2 linked regions of the Schizosaccharomyces pombe genome follow. The protein of the gene in region 1 interacts with the protein of each later gene in a pairwise test. Each region holds a gene or a part of one and is shown on either strand. Other genes may lie near its edges.

The links. Proteins that work in one complex are often made in the same cells at the same time.
Region 2: the proteins of gpn2 (region 1) and mtr10 interact in a two-hybrid assay, tested with the Schizosaccharomyces pombe proteins (one large-scale study listed by BioGRID).

Annotation. Positions count from the first base shown.
Region 1 is NC_003424.3:4,666,614-4,670,767, reverse strand, and holds gpn2 (GTPase Gpn2), read left to right. Parts: upstream 1-2,014; 5' UTR 2,015-2,426; coding exon 2,427-3,374; 3' UTR 3,375-3,649; downstream 3,650-4,154. Other genes in the region: sfc2 (transcription factor TFIIIA), read left to right, coding at 1-880; DNAJ domain-containing protein Jac1, read right to left, coding at 1,217-1,894; AP-3 adaptor complex subunit Apl5, read right to left, coding at 3,729-3,752, 3,792-4,054, 4,100-4,154. UniProt on the Schizosaccharomyces pombe protein: Small GTPase required for proper nuclear import of RNA polymerase II and III (RNAPII and RNAPIII). May act at an RNAP assembly step prior to nuclear import.
Region 2 is NC_003423.3:1,764,192-1,769,657, forward strand, and holds mtr10 (karyopherin Mtr10), read left to right. Parts: upstream 1-1,893; 5' UTR 1,894-1,959; coding exon 1,960-2,058; exon of another isoform or gene 2,059-2,087; intron 2,088-2,109; coding exon 2,110-4,878; 3' UTR 4,879-4,947; downstream 4,948-5,466. Other genes in the region: DNA-directed RNA polymerase I complex subunit Rpa34, read left to right, coding at 1-316; Sm snRNP core protein Sme1, read right to left, coding at 313-362, 592-667, 777-866, 904-942.

The DNA.
Region 1 (4,154 bases):
CTTTAGTTGCCATTATGATGGTTGTGATGCTCAATTTTATACTCAGCAGCATCTTGAACGCCACATCGAGGTCCATCGAAAGCCAAAGCCATATGCATGTACATGGGAGGGATGCGATGAATGTTTTAGCAAACATCAACAACTCAGATCCCACATTTCGGCTTGTCATACTCATCTTTTGCCTTATCCTTGTACGTATCAAGATTGTGAACTAAGGTTTGCTACAAAGCAGAAACTACAAAATCATGTCAACCGGGCTCATGAAAAAATTATCAGTTACAGTTGTCCTCATGAATCATGTGTCGGACATGAGGGTTTTGAAAAATGGAGTCAGTTACAAAATCACATTCGGGAGGCCCATGTTCCCAGTTGTTCAATTTGTGGACGGCAATTTAAAACCGCAGCACACCTTCGACACCATGTTGTACTTCATCAAACAACTTTGGAAGAAAGGAAGACGTATCATTGCCCAATGGAAGGATGTAAGAAATCTTTTACACGCTCTTCTGCTCTAAAGAAACACATATCTGTAATACACGAAGGTAATATGGCATTTCATTGTGATAGCTGTGGTACCAAATTTGGATATAAACATATGCTGCAACGACACCTGGAGCGCGGCACTTGTAAAAAAGCTCATAAACCATACATTAATGAATGTGGAATCAAACATGATGGAATAGAGGGGGTCGCAATTCACGACCAAAAAGAGAAAGAATTGAGTTCAAACTTAGTATCTGACGTGGCTAAAAAAATAATCAACGAAGTTACCGGGCATGGATATAAAGAAGCCCGAGAATACAGCTGTTCCTTTCCAGAATGCAATTACCGGTTCAAACGGCTATATGATATGCATAGACACCTTAATTCCCATCACTGAACGACGATCCTTACTTCAATTTATTCTAAAACGGAAAAGTTTAGCATAAATGTGACAAAGCCATGTTTTAGCTTCTCTTCATAATAAATTTATAAGCAACCTCTATCTTTTTTTTTGCTTTTGGTTTAGTCAATCTTTGATGTCAATACATTCTTTTAAAATATAAGAGACTCATACCTTTGAATCGTCGAATTGAATAATATAAAATTTTTTAATGCAGATTTAGAAATGCAACCTTTCATGCTTCAAATATTTTTGAATACAGGGGTTCTCTCACATTTCAAATTAAGGGTTGTTAATAAAATCTTGTAATTACAGTTAAGTAATCAATTCATATTATAAATCGTGAAGGATTTTGTCAATTGTATTCCAATATCGGAGCCGATTGACATATAGCAGAGCACTATCCCAATTTGAAGACTCCATTGCTTTCCGTATTTCATTAATTTCCTGAACTTTTCTACCCTGATTTTCTTGACTTAGCTGTAGGAGTTTCTCTGGCGAATCCCTTGAAGCGGAAATGTTTTCATGTACATCCATGATTTCCATCAAAAATTCAGGGTCACTGTTAGAAATATCTTCAGAAACTGGGTTAATTCCTTGAAGCTGGAGAATATATTCCGCTCGAGTCAATGGAGCTTTTAAGGTGTTATAAGCTTTCGATAATTCTGCAGAATCTCTTTGAGCTAAGGCAGCGTCTTTTCCCTGAGCAACATCAGGATGTAATGTTTTCATTTTTCTTAAATAGCTTGACTTTAATGCTCCCAAATCAATATCAAACGGACCTTTAGGAGGCGGATCCGAGATATCTCCTTCAAATTGTTTGTAAAAGTTTTTAGCCTCTGACTGGCATGATGAACTATGAAAATGATTATAATTAACAATTTTATTTAAAGGATAAAATTTGAAGCGAGCAAAAATCCAATGATTTCCAGTAATTTGTCGATTGAATAAACTCTTCTGTGCAAAAGAAATAAAGGGCCTAAAGCTCTGGTTTCCAGCTTGCTTTAACATTTATGATACAAAAAAAAAAGAAATTATGCAAATCCAAAGTGAATAATTAGAATTTCAAGTAGTTGAAAAAAAAAGGTATCAAGAGTTGACTTGTAACTGCTGTTGTTATTGCCAAATTTCAATAACTGCCACAACTCTTTAAATGTCATCTCAAACTTCAATATTACATAAGGAAATATAATCATTCAAAGTTAACATCAATTGTTTTTCGAAATCATCTCTTAAGAACAGTGAGATTAGTTCGGACATCTTACTAAAAAGCAGAGACCCTGGAAACCTCTGTTCCAAGCTAAATATTCCTAAAACCAAGGCAGTTCGGTGAATTTAACGTCTACATTTGAAAAATTTAAGGAAATTCTACCAATCTTTGTATTTTCAGTTTTTTTTCCTTTTTTTTTTTTTAAATATCAAATTTTGATATATCAATACATACTACAAAAGTATTATCTTTCAAAAAACTTATGAAAAACATTTTTAATATACTGCAAAAGGAATTACACATTTGGTTCTAATTGTTGTACTTTAGAGCAGCATGCCATTTTGTCAAGTGGTCGTTGGACCTCCGGGTTCTGGGAAATCAACTTACTGTTTCGGAATGTACCAATTATTATCTGCCATAGGAAGGAGTAGTATTATCGTCAATCTTGACCCAGCAAATGACTTTATCAAATACCCATGCGCAATTGATATTCGTAAAGTTCTCGATGTTGAGATGATCCAAAAAGACTATGATTTAGGACCAAATGGAGCACTTATTTATGCTATGGAAGCAATTGAATATCACGTTGAATGGTTGCTTAAGGAGCTAAAAAAGCATCGAGATTCATATGTGATATTTGATTGCCCTGGTCAAGTTGAGTTATTTACAAACCATAATTCCTTACAAAAAATAATCAAAACTTTGGAAAAGGAACTGGATTATAGACCTGTGTCCGTACAACTTGTAGATGCATATTGCTGCACGAATCCTTCTGCATATGTTAGTGCACTGCTTGTTTGCCTAAAGGGGATGCTTCAGCTGGACATGCCACATGTAAATATTTTGTCGAAGGCTGATTTGCTTTGTACGTATGGAACTTTACCAATGAAACTAGATTTTTTTACCGAAGTACAAGACCTTTCATATTTGGCGCCTTTGCTTGATAGAGATAAACGTCTTCAGCGCTATAGTGATTTAAACAAAGCTATTTGTGAACTTGTTGAAGATTTTAATCTTGTTTCTTTTGAAGTTGTTGCAGTAGAAAATAAAGCCAGTATGTTACGTGTTCTTCGAAAAATCGATCAAGCAGGTGGATATGCATATGGATCTACAGAAATTGGTGGTGATGCCGTTTGGGTGAATGCCGTTCGTCAAGGTGGAGACCCTCTTCAAGGTATTTCGCCTCAGGAAAGATGGATTGACAAGAAAGAGGAATATGACAAATATGAATGGGAATTAGAGCAAAAATCGACCATGGACGAAGATGAAAATGAAGGGTAATGACATTGAACTACTAAGGATTTGCAAATTGAATTATTTGAAAGTTGAAAGATTTTACTCAACCTTGCTTGTGTCATCTTCATCTTTTGCTACTGTGTTTTAGTTTTAAGACAATACTTTCAATCAACGGTAAACACACTTCGCAAAGTCCCATACAGTTAAATTTTGGTAAAAATTTAAAATATTGAGATAGCCTTTTTGTAAATCTCAAAAATTTAATGTATCACTTTTATAATAAACACTTTGTAAATTGCACCAAATAACATTTCTTTGGATTTAAGACTCTTTTCAAAGTAAGATAAATCTACAATGCATTTCGAAATGAAAAAGAAAAGCGGTCAACAGTACAGTAATTTACTCTTTCCCGGATGTTTTTTCCTTTCAATAATTAGTTACTTCGTAAAGTGATTGTCATACCTTTTTCTTTTTCTTTTTTTTGGATTTCTTTTTTTCAACGCGAATTGGCGATTTTGTTTCCAACACAATATCACCCATTGATCCTTGATTGGTAGAAAGTGGAGGGTCCAAAGAAATTAAGGAGTATACATTACTATTAGAAGGGTTTTCTTTGTTTTCAATATCAGCCAAACTTATTCCTTCGGGCACTTCGTCTTGGGCTACAACCATAGCTTGTAAACTAGGTGATGTAAAAATCTTTCTCCGTCTCTTATTTTTTGTAACTAAAATTATTAGCAAAAACAATATAATCAATAGCATTAACAAACCTTTTGTCACTTTATCAGCATTGAAAGCCTCATCTGACATCGACGTTTCAACATT
Region 2 (5,466 bases), on another chromosome or scaffold:
AATTTCACAAAACATTGATACTGGTATTACAATACCTACGCAGGCACCACTTGTTCCTCAAAGAAAGAATCTGAGACAGCATTTTCGCCCGATTGGAGATGCTGTAGGGCCTGAATCGGAACCTGAAGCTGAACCCAAGTCTGGCATCAAAGAACATATTTTACAAGAGACTGGTGATGCTACAGTAGAGGAATTACAAAATAAAGGGAAGGAAAAGCAAAAGGAATTGAAAAAGGGAAAAAGGGAAAAGAAGGATGAGGAAGAAAAACCTAAGAAGAAAAAGCAAAAGAAATCCAGCAAAAAGGAAAAAAATTAGATTGCTTGAATTAGTGTAATATTATCACCTTTTAATAGAATTCTACCTAAGCAATGTTAGCAATTGGTTTGGGAAATTGTTAAATATTTTAGAACAAAAATCTGCATCAACGGTTTGTTTTAGAATTTGTAAGGTTGCTGGAAACGCAATTTGGTAAATCAGCTTAAGACATGCATCTATTATTATTTTTGCTTCATGTAAAGACTTTTGAATAAAATCCCACCGAACATTCTTTCACATAAACCAAGGTTTTATTCGTCTAAAATCAGGCTTACCTAACTCCCTTTTATTATTTTTAGCATCTACTTGCACAGCATCGTCAAGCACAATGTTCATAAATTCGTCGAAGCCCTGTCATATATCGTTAGCAATTCATCAACTTGTCGTAGGGAAAATGAAGGTATTTCAAAATCCTAGGCCAACGACTATGAAGGGATTTTCCATAAAGTAAATTTCTTACCCTAATTTGTCCCTGAAGTCTTATATCTGTTTGTTCAAACAGCCAAATTGAAACAGGAGTATGTTGTTGCAACAATTTGAAAATGAAATTCTGCGTAAGTTAGCTATCCAACAACAATTAACCATACAATAGGAGGTATCATAACTTTTTGCACGCGTCCTGACATCTTGAAAACTTATTTTATCAAAAAACGAAATTCTATAGATGGTTGTGCAATGGTGCAGTTGGCGGCCTGTCAGCACTGACTTAGTGGATATTTAGCCAAGACCAAAAACCTCTTCAATAAATTTGTACCACATGGATCAATGTTTATCGATCCTTTATTTTTTTTTTATTTTTTTTAGATATGTAATTTGATCTTCAATAAGCTGTTTTAATTTTTTATCGACTTTCATACATACAAAAGTGTAGGTTGCTAAACTTCAATCAAAGCAGCCAAGATTGTATTGTTATTTTTATTAGACAATTTATGGACAATTCACTTGTTTAAATGATTGAGAAAAGCAAGAAATGTACTTTAGCGTGAGTAGCTACTCAGTAAAAAATGACATTAAAAAAAAACAATAAACAAGTTATCAAAGTTCAGCAAAAATTACATTAATTTAGACGATTAATATCCATAGATTCAAAAAGATTTGACAATAGAAATGAAGAAGACTGTAATGAAAATAGCCAAAATCTGATAAATATTTGGAAATCAGAATCCTTGAACAGCTCTAAATTAGGTTCTACCAGCTGCATCAAACGGATGTTTCATACATTAGATATTATATAATCCATATGTTTGCCAGTATTATTAGGAAACAGACTACTATGCGCTTTACATTGTATTTCGGATATATAAAATATAGCACGCGAAACTACTTTATGTGGCTAGAATTATATTATTATGGTAGCTATGTAAATAGCAATTGGAATACCTAAGCAAATTTTATTTTCTAACATTTGAAGTTTTTACTCTACCAAATGTATTAAAATTAAAAATCAACGTTATACTGAGACATAATGCCTTGAATGCTATTTATTATAATGATCATGGAAAACCTCCCGAATACTGTAATAAAGAGGTATAAGTTACTTGTTCCTTAAATAGGTCTTTTACTGCTACTACAGGTCTGAACCGAAACAAAAACACACGCTGCCAGTGCGTAAAGCAATCAATCTAAGTGATTTTTATGCCCTCATGGAAACGTTGTTAAGTGCTTTGGCTACTTTGTATGCCAACACTGATCGTGAGCAGAAACTTCAAGCAAACAACTACTTAGAAGAGTTTCAGAAAAGTGTAAGTCAGTCAGAGATTTGAACTGGATGATGTTAACCTGCATATTTTTAGCCTGCTGCATGGCAAATATGTTTTTCAATTTTGAATCAAGATGACAGCAGCATTGAAGCAAAGTTATTTGCCGCACAAACTTTGCGCCAAAAAATTGTATACGATTTTCATCAGCTACCTAAGGAAACACATATTGAATTTCGTAATTCCTTGCTACAGTTATTTTTAGCAGCTAAAGATAGTCCAAGACCTTTATTGGTATCATTGGCTGTTTGTATGGCTGCAATTGCTTTACATATGACTGAATGGCATAATGTTATAGCCGATGTTTTTCAAGCCTGTAGCTCCAAAGACCCCAGTGGAAGATGTGTTTTACAGTTTTTATCAGTACTCCCTGAAGAAGCTAGTGATCCAAGGAAAACTTCATTGAGTTGGGAGGAGTTATGTATTCGTGTTGATGAACTTCTTCGTGATAACGGTCCAGCAGTACTCGAGCTTCTGGTGCAATATGTCGATGCTGTCCGTGCTTCAGGATCTCCTTCGAGCGCTGACCTTGGTCTTGTTCTTACGAGTTTGATTTCCTGGTTGAGAGAAATTCCCCTTGATAAAGTTATGGCTTCTCCCTTAATTGAACTTGCTTTCCGTTCTCTGGATGATGACTTACTGTTAGAAGATGCTGTAGAATTTCTATGTGCCCTTTTTAATGAGACTAAAGATGTTGATGAAACTACTGATGCCATACTGATGCTCTATCCACGTTTACTTGAACTTCAGCCTAAACTTATTGCGGCCTGTGATGACCCAGAAACTTTTCGTGCACTAGGAAGGCTTTTTGCCGAGGCTGGTGAAGCTTGGGTTGTTTTGATTGCTAGGATGCCGAATGATTTTTTGCCTTTAGTAAACTGCATTGCTCAAGTTGCAGCTAACGATACAGAGCTGGAAGCGATTAAATTTACATTCGCATTTTGGTGGGATCTCAAACAAATGGTAGAGTTGGATGTTTATGCTGAAGCTCGTCAGCTATTTGCTCCTATATATTTAGAGTTGGTTCGTATTATTGTGCGTCACTTGCATTATCCACGAACTGAAGATTTGGCTATAAATGAGCAAATGGCTTCTAATGAAGTATTATTTGAGGATAGGGATGCTGAAGATCGTTTTCGGTCTTTTCGACATGAAATGGGTGATGTCCTCAAGGATTGCTGTGTCGTTGCTGGTGTATCTTCTTGTTTGGTTCAGATTTCTAGTCAGCTTATCAAAGTGCTCAAAATTAAGGAGTCTGGTCTTCCTTACTACTGGCAGGATGTCGAAGCTCCGTTATTTGCTTTAAGAGCCATTGGTAGAATGGTTCCTGCCAACGAGGATCAAGTCATCGGTAGCCTTTTCCAAATCCTTCCTCAATTGCCAGAAAACAATAAAGTTCGATATGCAGCTACACTATTCCTTGGTAGATACACAGAATGGACTGCGCAACATTCAGAATTTTTAGAATTGCAACTTAATTATATTTCTGCTGGTTTTGAGGTTGCAAATAAAGAGGTTCAAAGTGCAGCCGCTCAAGCCTTGAAGCACTTCTGCTATGATTGTAGGGAACAACTGGTTGGTCATCTCTCCCAATTACACATGTTTTACTTAAATGCCAAAACGTACTTAGCTCCTGACCCACTCATGGAAGTTGCCCAAGGCTTGGCTCACATCGTAGACATTCAGCCAGTTGCGAATGTATACCAATCTGTGCACAGTTTTCTTGCACCCTCACTTCAGAGTATTTTGCTGGCGCAAGTTAAGCTAAATCCCACTCAGGCAGAGTTAGAAGCACTGGCTGACAATATTGATATCGTTACGATTTTTTTGTCTCTCGTTCACCCCCCATCTCCGGCGGGAGAGCTACACCCCATTGTTCGACTTTTTCAAGACATTTGGCCGATATTGTCACGAACCTTAGACACGTTTTCCGACGTCTTAATATGCGAACGTATTAGCAAACTACTAAAAAATTTTATATACACTTTCAAGGAAAAAGCAATCGTAACGCTACCCGTTATTACAGAAGCACTTATTAAAGGATTTGAAAAAACCCAATATGGTTGCTTCTTGTGGGTTAGCGGAGCATGTGTGCGTCAATTTGGTGTGCCAGAAATGGATGAACAAACGTTAAGTGCTGTTTGGAGCTTTGTGGGGAAACAATGCACAAATATGTTTTATTACATGTCTAACAAAAACCCCAAAGAGATACCTGATGTGATTGATGACTTTTTCCGACTTATGATGGATGCATTACTAGCAAATCCACAAATGGTACTAGAGAGCCAAATGCTAGAATCTTTAATACAGGCGGCCATGATGTCTTTACAACTGGAGCAGCAGGAGCCTCTTCAAACAGTTTTAAATTTCCTACAAGACTTGCTTGCATTTGCTTTGCATACACCACCTTATTCACTTATCGAACCACTTCCTGATTCGCTTTTAAAAAGTTTAGCTGACTTGTTGCTTAAAAATTCTCAAGAACTATACATCATACTTTTTAATGGAATGGTGTTTACCTTTCCTAGAGATAACATATCAGATGCATCAGCGGTTTTGATTCCTCTTATTCGGCTAGTCTTTGCAGCTGACCCTAGCTTGTGTATTAAGTACATGTCGAATGTTTTAGATCAACTTCCGGCTATGACAATTGGACAAGAGGAACGCGAAAAGTTCCTAGCCAATTTTTCTAAGCACTGCACCTCCTCCGAAATGCCCCGGTTGCGTGCCCATCTACAAGATTGGACTGCAATGTACCGGCGTCGTGTACTAACCCCGAGGGCAAAATTAATTTCTGATGACTAATGTTGGGTCATCTATGAAAAGAAGAAAAATTAGGTAATATAATGAAATGGTACTATGGTTTGGTTGAAATGAACGTTTGGGAACATTATTAAGTTTACAGTAGAAGGAAAAACTTGAGATTTTTGCCAATGGAAGCTATAAGTTTTAGAGCACGGTAGAACATTATCAAATTCTTGTTAGCGCTTATTTTACTACTATACTGGCACAACCCATTGATCCAAGTTCGCATCGTTGTATATCAGCTGTAAAAGCAGATGTAAACATAGTGTAGATACTTACACCGAAGTCATAGGTTGTTGAGTACATAATCATAAAGTTAGTAGGAATGAATGAAAAAAAAGGAAAATTAAACAAAAGATTATTTCGTCCACCGAATTAAAAGAAATTAATCAATTCAGCATATAGTACATACAGCTAGCTAGCTATTAATTGGTTATTGTAATAGCTATCCCATATAACAATGCGCACCGTTCTACGTAAACACCTTTAAGGGATATCGTATAAATCGTATGAGTTCATTGAAAATCGTTTACATGGATAAAAAATGATAACAGCTACAATACTGAATGTTAATATGACTACCAGTAA